Regions from separate parts of the Mus musculus genome. Here regions 2 and 3 are each reported to be linked to region 1. The links are microRNA targets in miRTarBase. Many come from high-throughput screens and were not tested one by one. Region 1 holds a microRNA gene; each other region holds the end of a gene's coding sequence.
The links. Region 1 holds the annotated microRNA mmu-miR-10b-5p (UACCCUGUAGAACCGAAUUUGUG, at 2,063-2,085, opposite strand). A microRNA usually pairs through its seed, bases 2 to 8, with sites in the 3' UTR of a target mRNA and lowers its output. Matches are read on the target gene's strand: a 7mer-m8 pairs with bases 2 to 8, a 7mer-A1 pairs with bases 2 to 7 and ends in A, and an 8mer does both.

Region 2: miRTarBase lists Acer1 as a target of mmu-miR-10b-5p. Seed matches in the 3' UTR shown: 8mer at 6,307-6,314, 7mer-A1 at 6,285-6,291 and 7mer-m8 at 5,215-5,221.
Region 3: the mRNA of Gpr68 is a reported target of mmu-miR-10b-5p. Seed matches in the 3' UTR shown: 7mer-m8 at 1,899-1,905.

What each region holds. Positions count from the first base shown.
Region 1 is chr2:74,721,041-74,728,158 of GRCm38, reverse strand. It overlaps Mir10b (microRNA 10b), which reads right to left and starts at 2,089; the gene lies at 2,022-2,089. The region is part of intron 1 of Hoxd3 (homeobox D3); the gene reads right to left. Hoxd4 (homeobox D4) reads right to left here and starts at 6,181. Exons shown (of 6, transcript NM_010469.2): 1 at 5,982-6,181; 2 at 5,528-5,606; 3 at 4,792-4,827; 4 at 2,181-2,696; 5 at 454-1,283. The coding sequence starts at 880.
Region 2 is chr17:56,948,629-56,955,733 of GRCm38, forward strand. Acer1 (alkaline ceramidase 1) reads right to left here. Exons shown (of 6, transcript NM_175731.4): 5 at 6,868-7,005; 6 at 4,862-6,619. The coding sequence ends at 6,451. Among named protein-coding and RNA genes, the nearest start is that of Mllt1, 17 kb to the left of the region's middle.
Region 3 is chr12:100,872,246-100,879,350 of GRCm38, reverse strand. Gpr68 (G protein-coupled receptor 68) reads left to right here. Exons shown (of 3, transcript NM_001177674.2): 3 at 1-2,669. The coding sequence starts at 68. The coding sequence ends at 1,165. Dglucy (D-glutamate cyclase) reads right to left here. Exons shown (of 13, transcript NM_145448.5): 13 at 6,741-7,105. Among named protein-coding and RNA genes, the nearest start is that of Gm36572, 18 kb to the left of the region's middle.

The DNA.
Region 1 (7,118 bases):
GCCCCCCCTGTGCTCCAAGCTGGCCAGCTTCCTCCCTCCCGCCCTCTCCCTAAACATACACACACTCCCACCCAAGCCCTTCCATGCACACACTCCCCACGCTCACAGGTCCTCCTCAAAGGTTCTCCCTTGCCACTGGCCCACCAAGAGCTCGGTATCGCCAACATTTTGGAAAGGTCCTTGTTTTGCTCTGCGTTCCCTCTGCTGTGGAAATGGAGTCCTCCCCCCACCCCATCCCCATCCCCACCCCCTTTTGCGCCCACAGCCAAGCAGCCAGCCACATGGTCCCGGCCTGCTCCCTCAGCTATAAAAATTTATGGAGAGAGTAATTGCGGCGCCCAAGGAAGCTGCACAAGCCCCTACCCATTCGCAACCCCTGGGGTGGGGGGTGCAGGCCAAAAGATGCAAGGAGTGGTGCGGGAGGGCTGTGAGGTCGCTGCCCCCACTCCTTACCCGAATTCACGTGCACCTTCTTCATCCAAGGGTAGACCACAGCGGGCTGCTTGAGTGCTGTCCCGGGGGGCGGCTGCTTGGGGCCGGTGGGCTGGCTGCAGGCCCGAGCGCCAGGCAGGGGCGCAGGCGGGGGCGCTGGGCACCGCTCTCCCGGGGCACCGTAATGACTTCCCGGGCCGCTCGGCTCCTGTCCGTGACCCCTCGCGGGCAGCGCTGAGCCAGGCCCGGGCCCGCCGCCTCCGAAGGGTTGCTCGCCGAAGTCGGGCCGTGGGTAGAGCCCCGAGGGCTGGAAGTCGGCGCCCTGTGCACCGCTGCCGTAGTAGTCGGCTCCCTGCTCGCCTAGGTAGCCACCCTGCAAATATTCCTCGCACGGAGGAAACTTGGGGTCCACGTACTTAGAGTTCACCATATACGAACTCATGGCCATTAATTTCAGAAGGTAGAAAATACTAATTTTTCTCGTGTTGTCTTTTTTCTCCTTCCATTGGGCCCTCCTACTTGCTGTCAACTGAATAAAGTTGGGCGGCCATGTGACCAGGCCAGCCAATAGGAAGAAAGCATGTTTATCACCGGGTTGGTGAGCATCTCATAATTTTCACAAATTTAACTAAATAACATACGTGTAATCAAGTGACTTGCCATGCCACATTTGAGAGTCCCTGACAGATGCTAATAGAGTTCTAATTCTATCCCCGGGGTCCCAATTTCCGGCAGGTAATCTCGGCTTTTGTCTTCCACTGACTTTGCTAACCTCCCATGCCCTCCTTACTCACCATCGCCTGAAGCAGCCCCCAGAATGGACATAGTTCAAAGAAGAGTGAATTCTCCTACTGGGGTGCAAAATAAGGAAGAATGAGTGTGGGCAATGTGGCCTCCGAGTTGGGTAGAGTCCTAGGCAGGCAGGCAGGCTGCCCGGCCAGCTGGCAGGAGTCCTGGACTCTGACATACAAAGACCTGTCTTGGCTTTGTCTTCATCAGGGTCACCCAAAAGTTACCAGAATCTGGCGGACCTGAATTGAGTTAGGCAATGAGTAACCACTATGCTTTTCTGCCAATGCGCAGGCTGGGGTGTTTCTAGTTGAAGTTGGATCTTTCTGCAGGAGGCCCTCACAGTTCTGAGTCTGGTGGCTGAGGGGTTGGGTCATATTGGGATGGTGGGGAGGGGGACCTTAACCTTGCCTAAATGTACCCCAACGGTCTCCGATGGCCTATCTTTCAGTTTGTCTTCTTCCCACACAAGGGCAGGTGAGCCCCATTTGGGTACCTTTGTGTCTCATGCTCCTTCAGAGCAGGGCTTCTGCTGGAGCTTTCTGGCCTTTCACCTCACTCTCTAATACCCTAAAACCTGGCTCTCTGGCTTTACACTCAGACAACCACTTGAGCACCTACTGGAATATCTATAGGAGTTTCTCCAGGAAAAGGCTGTACAATTTCACCAGGCAAAGTCGATCATCCTGGAGTCTAAGGTAATGAAAAAGAAAGAGGTGGCTTGCCGGCTGGGCTGCCAGTACTCTCCGCGCCTCAGTCTCTGGCCATGTCGGAGATATATGAAGTTTTTGCATCGACCATATATTCCCCTAGAATCGAATCTGTGACTATGTGGGTACCACACAAATTCGGTTCTACAGGGTATATATAGACAACGTTACAACCTCGGGTCCTACCCAGAGCAGACATTCAGGCAGCTGCCAGACCTGATCTCTTCAGCACAGCCACCAGGAACTCACCAAGCCTGGCTTTCAGAGATGGTGCAGGTAGGCTCGGTGCATTTCTAAGTATTGCTGCTCGCTACAGCAATGAGTTCCCTCATCGGCTTGCCAGGATGGGGGCCACCAAGTAGCTGAGCAGCCAGGACCTTCTTCTTCTTAAAAAAAAAAAAAAGAAAAGAAAAGAAGGGGAGTTTTTTTTTCACCCCAGAGATGGCGGCTTAATTGCCCCTTCTCAGAACCCAAATCTCCCGCCCCCTTATCAAGTGGTATTTCCCAAAAAGAAGCAAAGGCCCTCAGCAGCAGAAAGGGAGTTTTGAAAAAGGCAAAAGGAATAGTCTTCACCAGAACCTAAGCCAAGTGAGTGGTCACAGCTAGTCCTCCTAGAATTCGAGCATTTACCTTTCTGGGCCCTCAGCCCCGCCGGACTTTCGGATCCCGCTGCTGCTGCTTCTGCTGCTGCTATGACTGCTGCTGCAGACCCGGAGGCAGGCGCTGTTTGCGGCCACCGAGCCTCCCTGGGCTGAGACTGTCGAGCTAATGGTGAAGGGCAGGGCGAGGGGTCATTCGAAATCATTTACAAACATATCACAAAGTTTCATTATTTTTGCTTTGCCGACAGCAGCACAGAAGAGTACAAAAGTTCGCGAATTTCGCCGCCCCAGCGCCTCCGCTGTCCTGGGCTTGCCCCTCAATTCAGGGCATCAAGAGCCCAGATGCACTCTGGGGCTGGGCTGATTTCAGGGGCAGAGGGATGCCCTGGCCTGGGCCGAGCTTATGGATGCCTGATAACAGATTGAAGATGTCCACATTTCTAAGTATTGTTTTGATCCCTTCCTATATAATTCGAAAAATCACTTTCAAGCCCCATGCCTTGATTTTGATGGGGTGGGGCAGGGAGACTCCCCTCATCATATCTGGCAAAATTAGGTGCTCACTTTGACCCTGTACTTTGCCCTTCCATGCCCTCCCACCATCTTTCACTTCCACTATTTTGCAGGGATTTCCCAGGTGTCAGTTCTAAAAAAAAAAAAGGGGGTTAAAATCCGTTTGTTTAAAGACTCTCCCCAGTTTCTCCTAATGCCAGCCCTTTCACCCATGGACACGTTGACAGGCCTTTCTGGGGACACTGGGCCTACCTCTGTTTTACCCAGACAAATTGGGGAAGTCCGATGGGTTGAGTGAGGACCAAGATGAGTACACACATTTTCATATTTGTTAGACATTGTGACCTGCATTTCACCTTATTGCTCGACTTGTTCAGACAGGTCAAAGCCAACAAGTTATTGATGAACAAAAGCGTTAAATATTCACCTCCCTCTCAACTGCCCATACAAATGCTTTTGATCTCTCCGGCTTTTTGTGCTGTGGGCAGCTACAAGGCGCCAGCAAGCAAGCAGCCTCAGCAGAGATGAGCCCTCACAGCCAAGGGTGCCAAGGAAGAGGGCAGGGGCAAGGCCAGAGAAAGTCTGGGGAGTCCAGATTTTTCACCATGGAGCCTGGTTCACTGTGTGCAGGCCTGGTTCATAGAAGGAACTACAAGCTGTAAAGGTCTTCACTTCCCTGTTAGCTCAGCCTCACCAGGGGCCCAGCAAAGAAACCTGGCCCTGAGCCCAGTCTCAGCTTCTCTGACCAGGAAGGGAAGACATCTCACAAGAGAGGGAGGATGCCTGGTCCCTGTGGTCCTTACCAATCTGCTACTGTTCCATTAAAATTAAACTACCTGTGGTTTGCAGTGAGTGGCAAGCCTCTACTATTTCCTTGACTCTCCTTCTAGTGCCAACCCTTCTAATGACACCCAGAAGATGTCACCAGCATTCTCAGCTTCAAACTTCAGAGCCAAAGAACTGGAGTCCCTGCCTCTGATCCCACCCAATTCCACTGGACTCTGGAGTAGAGTAGAAATTCTTCAACTGCAGCTAAGGAGAAACGGAGGGAAAGAGAAAGTACTCTTTTTGTTCACCGGGTATCCCAAACTGGGACCCACACCAGTGAAGCTAGGACCCAGAAAGGGACAGGAGAGGAATGTCTACATAAGCTCAGAAGTTGTAGCCCTTCCTGGAAACAGGCCAATCCAACACACCCAAGACCATCAAGGGTTATATGTTTGTTTTTGTCTGTAATAAATCAAATTTTAAATTAAAACCTATATACAGCAAGAGAAGGCTGAGATAGACTGGGCAGAGAGAATAATGGCTGGACAGCAGAGAGGGACCCCCGTTGCCTTGGTGTTGATTGGGTCAATTCTAGCAGTTGTGGATGCTGGCCCGCCCGTAGTTCAGTTCGTTGATAGGGTGGGCTGCTAATTAGCTGCAAGTCTGCTGCACCTGTGCGAGCCAGAGAAGCCTGGCAAAGGCCTGTATGGTCCAGAGAGGTCCGGGAAGACAAGGGCGGTCCCCTGCGGTGCGTTTACTTGAGCAGGTGACTGTGAACTAGGTCCCAGAAATACTTCCTAAAGGGTCAGCCTAGAGCTTCCATCCCTCCACGAAGCGAGTCCGTTTTGGCCTGGGGAGGCAGCGCCACTCCGCTACTCCTTAACCCTCCCATCACCGCTGGCGCGGACCTTCCGCCCACCTCCTCCCAGTCTTAGCACTACCCTTTCGTTCCTCGGAAGAAAAGGGAAGGTACTTACAGTGGTTCTCCCTCGTTCTCCCTGACGCTCCAAAACCTGTTGCAATGAAAGTGGGGTCTCTCAAATTTCACAGGACAATAAAGCATCCATAGGCGACATGCAGAACGTGACAAGGCCCAGACATTCCACCAATACCTAGAACTCCTTGCTTCTGGTGACCGCCTTCGGGTACTGCACAAAGTTTTCCTCTGATAGCATCCTCAAAGGCAGAGCTAAGGGCTATGGGAGTCTGTCCTGGTCACCTACCCTACTTCACGCACCCTTGGGCAAAACCCAACCAGTTATACGGCCTGACTCAGACTGCCTGAGGCAGGGTTTCCCCAGGGGGGAAATGGGAAGTCAGAAAATAGGCCTTTGTGCATTTCCTTCTGGTGTGGGAGGGTGGGTGCGAGCCCACTGGTGAGAGCCTGCAGACATTCTATTTGTCCCGACCCCAATTCTGCTCCCTCTGGAAACAGTTCAGACCTCCTTTTCCAGTTTCAGGTTGGTTTTTAATTCCACCCCAGCGTCCAAACCTGCATTCTCCTCAAAGAGGAGGCATGGCAGGCAGGGACATATTTTTTTTTTTCCATGTCTCCAATTCAAAACAGTCATTTCCTTCCGAGGGGAAATGAGAACCCAAAAGATAACCAGAAAGGGAAATTGATGTGTTTAAAGGAAAATGATCTAGATCTTACAGACATGGTCTAAAATATGATCTCATTCTATCTGTTTGACATTAATTTTTTAAACATACCTGCAGGAGAACCTACAGACCGATCAAAGAGAACAGTGGTTCCCAGGGCACTCATGTCCATCTTCAAGTTTTTAGTCTTCTAGGAACAGAAAGAAAAAGAAAAGGGGGGGCAAACCCCGCTCTGAACTACCTCAGAGGTAACTCATCTCCACACCGGTCCCCTCTCCTCCCCACCCCCCATCATTGCTTTCTTCCACTTTTAAAGTTGTTGCTCCACTACTGAGAGGCAAGTGTAAGTCCTGCTTTTGGGGTAGAAGGCCCTCACTTCCCAACGTTCCAGGTATACACAGGAGAGGGAAATGCCAAGACCCCCCATTCAATTTATTAAGTTAGGCTTAGGCTAAAATTAAAATGAACTTCAATAGATAGGCTTTCCCCAAGCAGAGAAGGCTGGGCTCAGACCCCCTGCCCCACAACTCTAGAGTTATTGTGGACAAAGTAATGAGTGACTTACTGGGTTTCTTTTCGTTGGTAGAGAAGCTTAGAGGAGAGCTGTCTCCTGAGCCCGGGGCGCTGGCTGGAGCCTCTCACTTGCCTATCGCTGCTACAGGAACCAAGCATCTGCACTTGTATGCTCTTAACCTAATTTATGGTGGGAATTATATTTTGGCTTGTCAACTCTCAAGCCATAAAACAAAGTTTATTGGAATCACGTGCTTATAAATAGCCACTCAGGTCCCGGCTCTGCAGAACCATAAATAACCTTTGGCTTTAAACTTTTATTCACTAAATAAAGGTTCACTGCAACTGTTCCCTTGGATTTAAATAGTTCCAAATATCCAGAATGCGAGAGAGGTCATATTCATATCAATACCCCGGGCTTTTCAACTTGCATCTTTTCAGAGAAAGCTGTTTAAATTGGGGGATAGTGCTATTTGGACAAGGCTGGTTGGTAGGCTTGTCCTATGACTCTTGGGCTGCATCCACTGTGAGTACCATCACCGCCTTTATTTCAATCATTTTCTAGCATTCGATGTGGTAAGCAGGAAAGACAAAGGCTACTTCTTACTTGCTTATCGCAAAAGTTGGAAATTATTTTTGAGATTTTTTGCTTGATTCAATAGGGAAGAGTGGCCAGGGGAGAGGCTGGGTGGCCTTGGGGGTGGGGAGGCAGCTGGGATTAACACTTAGTGTCCTCTGTATTGTTGTGGATGGGGCTTGGTGAAAGTTGAAGATTGCCACATGCCTAGGGGTTTTTATAATTTGCTCAGATCTGAAAGAGAAGCCTTTGCAAGTGACCAAACTGCTTAAAACAGCAAGACTTGAGGTTTGGTGAAGTGAGAAAGTGGAGAACAGGCCCCACCGGACTCTGGCGAGTAAGGCTCTGAAGAGCCTTAAAGCAATAAAGCAATAAAACAGCCCTGGTGTGAAGGGGCCGGGTGCGTGCGGGGTGTGAGGAAGCACAGGAGGCTCTCAAAGAACCTGAGCCCAGGAAGTCAGATGTGCACAACCCCACTGTGTGCCCAAGTCATTTAGCTCAGTGCTCAAGGGTCCCTGAAGGCCCACATCTGAGTGGGCTCTTCTGTAACTCCTCCCTACTGCTGGCCCCCATCACAGGGAGAGCCTAAGAAAGAAGTGTGGGACTATCTCT
Region 2 (7,105 bases), not on the chromosome of region 1:
GTGCATTTCTTTCTTTGGAGTCTCAACAAACGATGACCAATGAGGAATGGCAAGGTGTACCACACCATCCAGCATCATCACCATCTGTCGGGTTATATTTATGTTCCTTCTTAATATCATGTGTCCTTTCACGTGTTTGCTTAGCTAAATATCCTTTCACCTGTGTCTGCTTCAGGGAAATATTACTTCACTTGTCTGCCCCAGCAAAACACCATCCAACACAACTGACTTTCCAAAGAACCTTTAAATTTCCACTTCAGGATCCCTTTCTGGTTGGGACTGCCCCCTCCCTCCAGAAGGCCTTCTCTGAAGATCTTTAATGAAGCAGCTCTCAGAAACAATCTTATCTTGTTTGAATTTTTCTATTCAGGAGTGGTACTGAACGCATACATTTTCTTTACAGAAGGGACCCAAGGGTTATATATTTTGTGGAGGGTATGGGAATATCCAGGGAGGGAAATGTCGTTGCCTAAAAGCTTGGGTACTGAGATAGCTCACTAGCATGGGGAGACAGTCCAGGTCCTGGGTTACACCGCTGTTTACCTGTGACTGCCTGGTTGGGGGCCATTGGGTTACATGCTTTGTGGCAAGCACAAAAACAGGCAGGGAGCTAGTTCTACTCTTGCCGGTCCCAGTTTTGAGATTTCTGAGATTTGAGCATGCTCTGCCTTACCACGTCCGTTCCTTTTGTAGCATGGTCCATGTGCCCCACATTCTTCACTACTCCTCTTCTTCCACCCTTTCAACCTCCTAAAGCTAGGTAGGAGAAAAAAGAAGGTAGAGGTGGGGAAAGGTGATGATATCTATAGACTACTTCCTGCTGATTAGGGGAGTCAAGTTCCTTGGGGCAAGTTTGATCTTTGTTGTCAGAATATCTAATACTTCTTGTTTCTTCACTACTTAACAAACCACAACCAACTACCAACTGGCCAAACAATCCCCAGAACTCCAAGTGTCACACACTTGCAAAAACTATCTGCAGATGGCAAATTCATGCCCTTGCTAGAGCACGAGGCAAATCATAGTCAGCTTCTGTGGACAATCTAAAGTGACCCCATATCCCACACCTGGGATTAAAATGAATCCATTTTTATATTTCCACGTTGTTAAAAGAAAACAACATTCTCACCACAACACACCTCTTTCAACACGAGTATGCCTCCTAATCCTTCCCAATCTACCAACTGGAGACCAAGAATTCAAACGATGATCCCACTGGAACCATTCTCAGTCAAAGCCTCCACAGGATCTGACACCCTCTTTGGCTTCCATGACACTTGCATGCATGTGGGACACACACACACACACACACACACACACACACACTAATAAGTAAATGAGTCATGATGGCACATACCTTTAACCCTAGCACTCAGGAGGCAAAGGGCGGCAGATCTTTGAGTTTAAGACTAGCCTGGTCTACAAAGAGAGTTAGTTCCAAGACAGTCAAGGCTACACAAAGAAACTTCTTCTTCTGAAAAATCAAAAACAAACAAAAAAGATAGATAAATAAATCATTCTTTTTTTTTATGAGACAGGGATTCTCTGTATAGCCCAGGACAGCCTGAAACTCATAGAGATCTACTTGCCTTTGCCTCCGGAGTGCTGAGATCAGAGGGTACATCACCACCACATGGCTTACCTGTTATTCTGTGGTGTGTTGTATGTGTGTGTAAGTAACCCACATGCTTTGATAAAAGAAGCCCATAACATGCCAGGCCCAAGGAAACAGACCTCCTATACTAAAACTAAGAGTTGAGCCATCCAGATCAGGAGTTCAAAGTAATCCTCAGCTACATGGAGAGTTTAGGGACAGCCTGAAACCCTGTTTCAAACAGAAGGAAGGAAAGATGGAAAGGGGGAGTGGAGGAGAGGAGAGAGAGATAGGGAGGAGGAGACAGAAGAGCAAAAGGCCATTTGAGGGTTTGGTGCAGGTGTAATGTCTTAGTCAGGGTTTCTATTCCTGCACAAACATCATGACCAAGAAGCAGTTGGGGAGGAAAGGGTTTATTCAGCTTACATTTCCACATTACTGTTCATCACTGAAAGAAGTTAGGACTGGAACTCAAGCAGGTCAGGGATCAGGAGCTGATGCAGAGGCCATGGAGGGATGTTCTTTACTGGCTTGCTTCCCCTGGCTTGCTCAGCCTGCTCTCTTATAGAACGGAGACTACCAGCCCAGAGATGGTCCCACCCACAAGGGGTCTTTCCCCCTTGATTACTAACTGAGAAAATGCCTTACAGTTGGATCTCATGGAGGCATTTCCTCAACTTAAGTTCCTTTTTCTGTGATAACTCCAGCTGTGTCAAGTTGACACAAAACTAGCCAGTACATGTAACTAATCCTGTCAGATCTGTCCAACATCTTCTTGCCACATGGCCCCCAATTTCCAAATAGTGAAACTAGATGCAAAGGTTAGTCTGGTTAGAGGTCCAGCCTGGGACACTAACCTGCAGGACCTGCTGACTCCCTGCATGTGCCTGCTGCTAGCGCCCTCTACTGGTCACTTTTGGTCACACCTCAGAGTCTGACTCCCCGTTTATCACATTTAATTTTTTTTTATTTGACCTTGTAGATGGTCCTTCAGGAGAATTTTTGAGACCCTGCTTTCTGATCTCCAGTGTATTCTTGTGTCTCTCAGTTTTCCGACTGTCACAAATGTCCACAGGGTCCTTTGATGCTGAGAACGTGTGATCTAGCTGGAGAAGAGCCCAGTGGCCCACTATGAGAGACCTGGCCCAGGTTAACCCTGATGCTGAGCTCACTGGGACATTCCTCTGCATAAGAGCTATAGATGGTTTTGCAAAATGAATAAATAAATAAATAAATAAATAAAAGTGGTGTATAGTAAATCATGACTATTCATCTAGAACCCTAGAAGTTAGGATAGAAGGGTGGCTGGGCAGTGGTGGCACAAGCCTTTAATCCCTGCACTTGGGGGGCAGAGGCAGGCAGGTTTCTGAGTTCGAGGCCAGCCTGGTCTACAGAGTGAGTTCCAGGAGAGCCAGGGCTACACAGAGAAACCCTGTCTCAAAAAAAAAAAAAAAAAAAAAGGGTGCTGTAATTTTGAGGCTAGCCTGTGCTACATAGTGAGTTCTGGGCCAGCCTAGGCTATTGCCTCAGCCTCCCAGGTCACACCTGGTCAGGCATGTATGGCTTCATGGTGATATTTCTATTTTTTTCTTTCTTTCTCTCTTTTCTTCTTCCTTCCTTCTTTTCCTTCCTTTTGTCCTTCCTTCCTTCCATCTTTCTTTCTTTCTTTCTTTCTTTCTTTCTTTCTTTCTTTCTTTCTTTCTTTCTTTCTTTCTTTCTTTCTTTCCTTTTTTTGAGACAGGCTCCTGTAGCCCAGGCTGGCTATGAACTCACTGTGTATCTGAGTGTGACCTTGAACTCCTGATCCTCCTGCCTCAGTCTCCTGAGTGCTGGGATAACCTTCGATTTCATAGCAGAGGAACATTGTATGTGGGGAAAAGACAAATAGAACCATCAGTACAGGTGTTCCTCACATCCCCTACCTCAGAAGCTCTTTGAGTGAGATTCTTAACTTTAGGGGATCAAACACGACGTCTTTCCCTCAGGCCCAAGTTTGCTGGCAGCGATAGCACATTCCTTTAATCCCAGCACTGGGAAGGCTGAGGCAGGTAGATCACTGTGAGTTTGGGGCCAGCCTAGTTTACAGAGAGAGTTCCAGGACAGCCAATGCTACACAGAGAGCCCCTGTTTCAAAAACAAACAAACAAAAACAAAAAAATCATACGTTCACAGTACCACCACCATCTCTTAATACTGGAACCCATCCAGGGGACACAGCTGAAGAATATCTAGGTTTGAAAATAGACAGAAGGGAGCTGGAGAGATGGTTCAGTGGTTAAGAGCACTGACTGCTCTTCCAGAGGTCCCGAGTTCAAATCCCAGCAACCACATGATGGCTCACAACCACCTGTAATGAGATCTGATGACCTCTTTTGGTGTGTCTAATGACAGCTAAGGTGTACTCATATAGAATAAATAAATAAATCTTGAAAGAAAGAAAGAAGGAAAGAGAGAAAGAAAGAAAGAAAGAAAGAAAGAAAGAAAGAAAGAAAGAAAGAAAGAAAATAGACAGAAGGGACCTAGGAGGCCCAGGTTCCACCCCCCTCAAGGGGTCCAAAGAGCTCTCAGGAAGGATAGGTCTGACGCAAAGCCCAGGCTGTGTGTTCTTGGGTAAATCATTTACCTCCTCTGAGCCTTATCTATGATAGGAAAGTATTCTTGTGTGTTTGAAGTGCTTCATGCAGGGGGCTAGATGACATGCCCAGACAAATTGTGACACATGTCACAATCACATGGAGATGTAGAATGCTACCCACCTGTGAGTGGCCAGGCAAGGTAAAGCATGCTTGTCACCTCAGTACCCAGGAAGTTGAGGCTGGAAGACTGAGAGGTCTGGGACAGCCTGGGCTAAACAGAAACGCCCTGTCTTTAAACTTGGAACAGAGACACCTACTGCCTCGTGTCCTCCTTTCCCGGACAAGCTGTGAAACCCCTTCCCTGTTGCTTCAGATCCCGCCCCAGGCAGCGACAGCTAGCCTGTCTTTCTTCCGTTGTCCCATGCAGCCAAGGAACTGGAGGACTCACTGTTTCCAAGAAGGGCACACCCATCTTGCCATTTTCGAGGGAAGCTTCTCCCCTATGTCACCCTGTACACTAGCCCTTCCAACAATGTCTTCTTCGGACCATATATCAATGTCTCTGAGTGCTCGTGCAGTTAGCATCTGTCACCACTGCCAGAGGGTGGGTAGGGGACTCTATGTCTGCTGTCAGGCAAAGAGAGTGGCATCTTGTAAGGAGGAGTGAACTGAAAATAAGATCAGGATACTTCATTTGTGGGTTATTTTATTTTATGTATGTGAATGTTTGCCTGAATGTGTATCTGAGAACCATGTCTGTGAGGACCCATAGATGCCAGGAGAGGAGGTTGGATCTCCTGGGACTGCCACATGAGTTCTGGGACTCAAACCTGGGTCCTCTACAAGAGCTGCCAGTGCTCTTAATTGCTGAGCCTCCAGCTCCTTACTTGCATTTTTTTACATGTTAAAAACCTTTGTCTGCCGAGCGTGGTGGCACACGCCTTTAATCCCAGCACTTGAGAGGCAGAGGCAGGCAGATTTCTGAGTTCAAGGCCAGCCTGGTCTACAAAGTGAGTTCCAGGACAGCCAGAGCTATACAGAGAAACCCTGTCTCGAAAAACCAAAACCAACCAACCAAACAAACAAACTTTGGTCTATGCACCTGCCACACTGTGTGTGCTACTGCATGTGTGTGCAGGTCAGAAGACAATGTGTAGGAGTTGCCTTCTATTCTCTTTCTCATGCAAATTCTGGGGTTCAGATTCAGGTCATCATATTGAACTGCAAGCCATCAGAGCCATCTGAGCAACCCACACTTGCAATTTTAATTTGTGTAGGTGGATTAAGGGGGAGGTGGAATGAATGGATGGATATAAGGAGGGAGGTAGATGGAAGAAGGAGGGGAAAGAGAGAGGGAGAGAAGGTGGGTGGATGGATGGATGGATGGATGGATGGATGGATGGATGGATGGACGGGTGAATGGATGGATGGACAGGTGGATGAATGGATGGGTGGGTTGATGGATAGGTTGTTAAAATGGTGAATGGTTGATAAGTGGGTGGGTGGATATTTTCAAGGCTATTCCAAATACTTCACACGTGACCTAATTTTAATCAACAGAAGTCCCAGGAGGGAATGACATTTTATTTACAAACAGCATTTGAAACATCACATCCCTCAGGGCTATGCAAGCTGAATACTGTGGAGCAGAAAATCAAGCTTTGGCATGTCTAACTCTGTGTCCTTAGCCATCACGGAGACCCTTTCCCCAATACCCTATCCTCTAAGTGCCCCATGATGTTGCCCAGGTTAGCCCTCTATTATCCTCATTCATGGCTCTCATGTTCAACACTTTGCCCTGAGTGCATGTGGTGGTTCAAAGAGGTCTCTATACGAATATCTATCTGTAGGTGGTGGGGCCTGGAATGTTCTTTGGATACTCCCCAGTTTCCCAGAATACAGTCATGATCCAGTTGAATCTATAACACTCATAAACAGTCCCAGATGTGCGAGCTGACAGAGAGCAAGCATTATGCTTCAGGCAGGTGCTGTATCAGCCACACACCCATCTGTTCACCACATCCGTGGCCATGAAGAAGCTGTGGTCTCATAGGTGGACACAGGCCAGTCATCCCACACACCAGGCAGCCCCTGTCCCTCAGTCACCAAACTAGTACCCTGAGCCACAAGTAAATCTACCCTGTGCTGACGAGCAGGGCAAGGAGCATGGGCCGGGGGATGGGTGCTGCAAGTGTGCCCACTGAAAGCCTTGTCCTGCCCTGTATCCTCAGTACACAGGAGACTCGGTGGCTGGCCAGAGAGCAGAGACTACAGCAGAGCTCAGCAGTTCTTGTCATTCTCCTGGATCTCCACATAGGGTAGCCCGATGACCCAGCTGTCCCGGGGCCAGTAGTGGACTTTGAGGGTTTTATCTGGCATCTCATACTTTGCATCCACCAGGGCCATGGTCACGATACCATAAGGAAATGTGATGCTTATGAGGACGTGCCTGTGGTTAAGAGAGGGCAGGGTAAGAAATCGAGAGATGCCCCCAGCTCTACCCAGTCTTCTTAGGTTCTCACAGATGCTAACTTGGCTCTTTAGATCCAGGCAGCCAGTTGTAACCTCTCCCTACCACCTCTATATCCCAGGGTCTGGATCTTGTCCCTCTCCCACTCTTGCACCCCAGACACTTCTCTACTTGGAGTGCATCTGAACTCTGACTTGGGTTCTTGGGATCCAAGAGGGGTATTTTACCAAATGCTGTGCAGGTAGTAGAAGTGAATCCGCTGCCAGAAGCTGCAAAGTACACGGTCACTGATCCAGCTGGTCAGTGCAGCGGCCCATAAGACCACAGAAACCGCAATCAGATGCCGAAGATCATCATCCCTAATCCTGGGGACAAAGAGAGAGCCTGGGCTGGGGGTGGGTGGTGAGCTGCTGGATGGACAGACAGACAGATGGACAGGTGGATTGATGGTTGGATGGTGGGTAG
Region 3 (7,105 bases), not on the chromosome of region 1:
AGATGGCAAGAGAGGGATTGGCTCCATCTCCAAGCCCATGAGGAATAAGGCTCCTTCTGGCCCAAAGATGGGGAACATCACTACAGAAAACTCCTCACTATCTTGCCCCATCGACCACACCATCCACCAGACACTAGCCCCAGTGGTCTATGTGACCGTGCTGGTGGTGGGCTTCCCAGCCAACTGCCTGTCCCTCTACTTCGGGTACTTGCAGATCAAGGCCCGGAATGAGCTGGGAGTGTACCTGTGTAACCTGACCATTGCAGACCTGTTCTATATCTGTTCACTTCCCTTCTGGCTGCAGTACGTGCTTCAGCACGACGACTGGTCCCATGGTGACCTATCCTGCCAGGTGTGTGGCATCCTCCTCTATGAGAACATTTACATCAGCGTGGGCTTCCTCTGCTGCATCTCCATCGACCGCTACCTGGCTGTGGCCCACCCCTTCCGCTTCCACCAGTTCCGCACCCTGAAGGCAGCCGTGGGTGTCAGTGTGCTCATCTGGGCCAAGGAGCTGCTGACCAGCATCTACTTCCTCAATCACAAGGAGGTCATTGAGGACGAGGACCAGCACCGAGTCTGCTTTGAGCATTACCCTATCCAGGCCTGGCAGCGTAGCATCAACTACTACCGCTTCCTGGTGGGCTTTCTCTTCCCCATCTGCCTGCTGCTGGCCTCCTACCAGGGCATCCTGCGGGCTGTGCGCCGCAGCCACGGCACACAGAAGAGCCGCAAGGACCAGATTCAGCGGCTGGTGCTCAGCACCGTGGTCATCTTCCTGGCTTGCTTTCTACCCTACCACGTGCTGCTGCTGGTACGCAGCCTCTGGGAGAGAAACTGTGAGTTTGCCAAGAGCATCTTCAACGTCTATCACTTCTCCCTCCTCCTCACCAGCTTCAACTGTGTAGCTGACCCGGTGCTGTACTGCTTTGTCAGTGAGACCACTCACAGGGACCTAGCCCGCCTCCGAGGAGCCTGCCTAGCTGTCCTTACCTGCTCTAGGACAAGCAGGGCCAGGGAGGCCTACCCTCTGGGTGCCCCTGAGGCCTCTGGGAAAAGTGGGGCCCAGGGCGAGGAACCTGAATTGTTAACCAAGCTCCACTCAGCCTTCCAGACCCCTAGCTCACTGGGAGTGGGAGGGCCCTCCACAGTGGGGTTGGCCTAGCTTGAGTCACGTGTATGAGGCTAAGTTAGGCCCTGAGCTTTCACCAACAGGCCTTGTGGTCGGGAGCTTGCATGGTGGCTGTCTCCCACTTTACCATGTACGGGTGCCTCTCTCCTCAGGAAGGAACCATGGTTTGGGCCACAGCCAGGTCCCTCTGGCCCCTGGAAACCTGCTCCGTGTCCTGAGCCTGGGCACTGCTGACTGTGTGAATGAGCCCTGTCTCCTCCCATGTTCTTGGTGGCCGCCTGGGCTGCAGATGGGAGGGAGTCGGCATCGTCACTTCCAGGAGATTTGCAAAGAGCAGCAGGCCTGGGGTGCGGAGAGGAGGGTAGGACCCTGCGTGGTCACCTGCCAAGCCTTCCAGTGCCCCTGTTGTCACAGACGATACCAGCCCAAGTGTGCTATGGTCTTGTGTGACACAGGAAGCTATATAGCCACCATCAGTATTTGAGCTTGCCTCTAAACTAGTCTAGGCCAGAGGACTGGTTAAGGTGAAGAACAGGGGCGGGGTTGGTGGCTAGGGATAACAGCAGAGAGGCAGTCAGGGAAGAAACCCCAGCATCAGGCACGTCTCACTTTACAGAACTTATGGAACAGGGCCCCACCCCCAAGGGCTGATGGCAAAGAAACCCCAGGGATGCCGGAGAGATGTCAGGGGCCCTCAAAACATCGTACTAAAGCTTAATAAGAAGACTTAGGCCTAAAACTGCGTCCTTAGCCAAGTTCCTGGCACACAGGGTTTCTCTGTGTAGCCCTGGCTGTCTTGGAACTCACTCTGTAGACCAGGCTGGCTTCGAACTCAGAAATCCGCCTGCCTCTGCCTCCCAAGTGTTAGGATTAAAGGCGTGCGCCACCACTGCCCAGCCCTAATTAGCTTTTTGTGTCCGTCTAGTCTAAGTGTCAGACCTGAGAGCCTAAGGGAGAAGAAAGAGGGAGAATATAAAAAAAATGGCAGGGTGTCCATGGCAACTGTATGCCAAGACATTGATACTAACTAGGATCATGTATCTGTTGTCAGTAATTCCTACCCTTCTCCCCATGCACCATAGAGCATCCAGCAGCTTTTGAGAGGAGTGTGACAGTGACAGTTTCCCAGAGTTCCTAAGTGCAATGAACTAACCACACACACACACACACACACACACACACACAATCATGTCTCGTGACCACAGGTTTGGCTTAAGCTGCATTTTGGTATAGGAGAGTTGGCAGAGATGGCTGCATGCCAGAAAGACCTACACCTTCCCCAGCCTCGGTCCTTACAGGCCAATGGTGATAGCTAAGTGTTCTGTGCCTCCTCATCCCACAGTATTTCCCCTGTTTGACCTGAAATTCTGGATTCTCACTGGCTTGGACTGGAGCAAGCTAAGCCCAGCTCCCCTTACTAAGGAGTGCTGTATTTTTGTATTGTTTTCTCTCTTATGCCAAGTATCCCTGTGTTGGACTGTGAGGTGGGTTTATGTAGTGACTTCAGTCAGCAAATAAAACAAAGTAGCCAATCATAGCAGAGTGTGTGCAGTCCTTATAGGCAGAGACTCCACCCACACCAGGAAGATCAGGTGTGTCCTTGAAAGACCCCAAATAGAAAGATCCAAGGGCAAGATGGGGGTTGCATTTGAGTGCCTAACAAGTGGTTAAGCCCAAGCCACAAGGACAGTAGAGTTTTCTCTTCTGCCTCATGGCAAAGCCCATGAATCCGTGCAGCATGGCAAAGCCCATACATCCATGCAGCATGTTGCAAAGCTACCCTGGATGCATCTGTGCAGGTGGTGTTGTAGATTCACCCTGGGACTTTTAAGGACAACACCCAGCCCTGTGGTTTAGCGAACAAGACTCCCTCTGTCTTTGACCACATGGGACTCTGCATATTGAGTATCTCCCCAACCCCGACCCCCCCTGACCCCTCCCCCCCCCCCCCCGCAAGGGTGAGCCCCCATCAGACCAGAAGAAGAGCCTGTTTCACTCATCTCTGGCATTTCCCCAGAACCAACTGGTTTTGCTTGCAGCCGCCCACCTTGCTTGTTGACAACCTCTGTCTGCCGGGGCATCCTCTCACCAGCATCAGACTCCGTGTTTATCACTAAGGATCGCCCACATCCTATTGAAGCATAAATTTGATTTTGACCACTTAATCCCTCTATGGATCAGGCTCCTGGAGTTTTGGAGTGTTATGGAAGAATAGCTCTTTCTTCCAAACAGACTAAGCAAGAATATTATTAAGGATTAATCCTGCTTTCTCTCCTAAGAGAAGGACTGGGAGCAAACGTCCATCTGGTTTGGACTGAAGGTGACAGAAGCCATTAAAATTCCTTTTTTACTCCCCAGTGTTGCTTAGTAATACAAGGACTCATCTTCCTGTTTACACAGGACTGTGGGTTGGCCCGAAGAGAGTAGGAGAGAGCCTCAGCACAGAGCACATCTCCATCTGCTGCTTCCCACCAGCTTGTGTTCTAGAGAAAGCCAGAAGCTGAACCAACTGCTTTATGCATCTAGGGATGGAGTCTCCATTCCTGGAATTCATCTGGTCTCAGTGTCCAGGGCTCTGGTGGGAATGGGAAGATCTCAATTCCATTCTCTCTCAGTTAGCAGCTATCTTAGGAATACCACTCTATGAGATATTCGCTGTCTGTGCTGGAGTATTCCAGAGAGGTCACAATACCCAAACTCCTCACTGCAAAGAACCTTGTCTGGGTCCCTCAGTCCAGTCTCTCCACAGACACTAGTAGTGGCAACTAAGTCACTACTGTGCAGACAAGCCATTCCAGGGGTATCTTAAATTCTAAGCACCCCAATGAAGAATCACTTTATTATCTGCTGTCTCTGATGTGATGTAACCCTCTGGGGACTGTTGTTTGAAGACACTTCTCAATGATAATTCTTCCAACTCAGATTAGCAAAACTGGATTCAATTAGAGCAACAAGCAAGTCACATCACAATGCTGTAAAACAAGGGGGGGGGGCAAGGGAATATCTCATGGTTAGCCCGGGGGTCAATCCCTAGCCCCAAATCATAGTGAAAATGACAAACATAAGTGGCTGATACACGTTTATTTTACGTTTCTAAGATGTCCAATGAAAAGGGTCTAAGATGAAGGCTTAATTGGGAAAGTGCTTTCTGTGTAAGCATGGAAATTGAGTTCAATTTCTAGAACCCACATTTGAAAAAATAAAGAAAGCCAACACTCAGGAGACAGAGGCAGATGAATCTTTGTGAGTTTGAGGCCAACCTGGTCTACATAGTAATTCCAGGATAGTCAGAGCTACATAGTGAGTCTCAAATAACAACAAACTAAAAAACACCCCTCAAAAACAAACAACAACAACAAAAACCCAGCCAGGCTCTGATGCTTATGCCTGTAATGCCAGGTCTGGAGAGGTAGAGACAGATCCCGGGGGGGTTCCAGCCAGCCTGTCTAACTGAATCAGTGAGCTCCAGGTGCAGAGAAAGACCCTTGCTCAAAAAAGGAAGCAGAGAACCATTAGGGGAGGCATTCAGTGCCAATTTCTGCTCTCTATACTTGCGCGTCCGTACCCACACTTAAACATGCACACACACACACACACACACACACACACACACACACACACACACACACACAGAGTTTGGAAAGTGATGACAGCAATTCAAAATCCTCCTGCGGATCAATTCTGTTACTGTAAAGAATGGTTGAGACGCTCCACTCTCTCGTCCCTGAAGAGCTAATTCAGCTGCCAAGTTCAGGAAGATGGGACCTCTCCTAGGAAGATGTGCCCATCTTAACCCTTGCTAAAAAGATGACCACAAAATTATCCATTTACTGAAATACCATACTTTATCCTTCCTATAATTCCTGTCTCATAGCACCGTCTGTAAGAGCAGCCCTGAGGTTCAACTGGCTCCGCCCACCCTTCTGTGTCCTGTCTCAGAAAGAGACAACTTTCCCGTTCTCCTTTTTTTCCCTCTCTCTTTCTTGCAGATGCTGACCAGAACCTAAGCACTTCTCTCCTGGTACTTTTGGCTTCGTCCTTACTCATTTTCCCCTTGTCTTGTCCATTTTCCCCTCTGGGCGCCTGCTGAGATTTACAGATGTCCTGCCATGGAGTTTCCTTTTAAGCTCCTATCATCCTCAGGCTCCCATTTGAGTCCATTCTTAAATTACTTTATCAATAAGACTAAGAACCCTAAGAAGGAACTCCAATTTCCCAGGCATCATCTGGCCATCATAAAGTGACACCCCAGGATTTTCCAGTAGCAGTTCCATAATCATGGGATTCCCCCTGTCCATCTACAAAGGTAGGAGAAGTGTAAAAAGAATGCCACATGCAATTATGGCCCAGGGTGGAAGTGTTTGATAGCCTCATTACTCATACTCTATTAACCTGACCCTGGTCACGTGGGCCCCAGCTACAAGAGAGGCTGGGAAATGTAGTTTTTCTGCGTAACAAGACAAGGAAAGGTGAAATTGGTGAATATCTGGCCAATCTGACTGACAGTTCAAATCACCTCTACTTAGCCCTTAACCTGCCATCCAATCCCAACAAAATCTGCTTCTACAAATGTGACACCTGGATCAGAACCTACATAATGTCGTCTACCTTGCCCTAAGGACCACATTCCTCTGCTTCTATACTTCCGGGAAGCACATCACATCATGAATGTAGAGAACATACAATTTGCTAATAAGCCAAGCATTCTCCGTCCTGCATAGAGAGCAATGAACTTCAAGAAGAAGCCAGCAGACGCCATGTATAATGGTCAGGAAGTAGCAGATACAATGGGCTGGGCCAACTTGGGGGTGGCAGACAGTGGGAAGCAAGAGGTGACCTCAGAGGGATACCTTTCCTAGCTGAGCAACAGAATGTCAGTTGTGCCCAGGACATCCAGGGATAAGGAGCTGGCACCCTTGTACAGAGCATGCTACCTCAGTAAGCCAGGCCACCAGCTTGCCTATGAGTACCGACTGTATGTCATATGTACTATATCCTAGGATCTCTCTCCACAGCATCCTGAAAAGCCCACAGATTCCATTTGCCCAGCAATGGCTAGAACCAAGCTAGCTCTCACCCTGGGTAAACCACAGTTCCCCTGCAGGCCATCTCTTGTTCTTGTCACTGACTTCTGGAGGTGGTAGCCACCACAGACATGAACACAGACATTTCTCCTGAGAACAGACAAGGCTAGAACAAGGTTTGAGTGGGAATCACAATGTGAAGTGGAAAGTTTTAAAACCGGGTCCTGGAAGGCAGAGCACCAGCAGCCCCTGGGATGGATGCCCAGGAAGGGGTCCCCTCTACTCCTTTGTACCTTAGCCTCAGCGTAAGCTGAGAACCTGCCTTCAGAACCTGCCTTCTCTGAACTTAACGGGGTCTTAGCCTTTTTCTTAAATGGCTCAGCCATCTCCCCATACATTTCTTCCCACTGCAAGCATAACTTGTAACACTGTTACTCCTCAGCTTGTTCAATGCTGAAGTAGAATCCTGCTATTACTATGCCAAAAGCCAAATCTATGAATATCTCCTTTGAAACATGAATCATAAGATTGTTGGCAGCTTTTCCACGATGTCAATAGTATTGTAGTCATCTATTTTTTTTTTTAATTGTCAGGATATCCTCTTTATCAGAGTTCCTGGTGTGGAATTTGTACTGAACAAAAATGATAACTCAAAGAGACCTGGGCCGTGAGGCTTCCAAGCCAAGGTGTATTTGCTGAGTTGTGAGGTCTTGGGTGGAGGACTGGCCCCATTTTTAGTGTCTTCCACAGAACAAGCATGGACCCTGAAAGTGTGAACCCTGCAGGTGTGAATCCTGGCCAGAATAGCAAATAGCAGACACTGGAGGTTCATACTAAAGATTTTCTCTTTACACTTATATTTTATTGGAGTGTAAAATCCATACCATGTGTTCCTTTTTCACAATGAAGGCCCCTTAAAGAACCATACCAGACACACATGTGTAAAGAC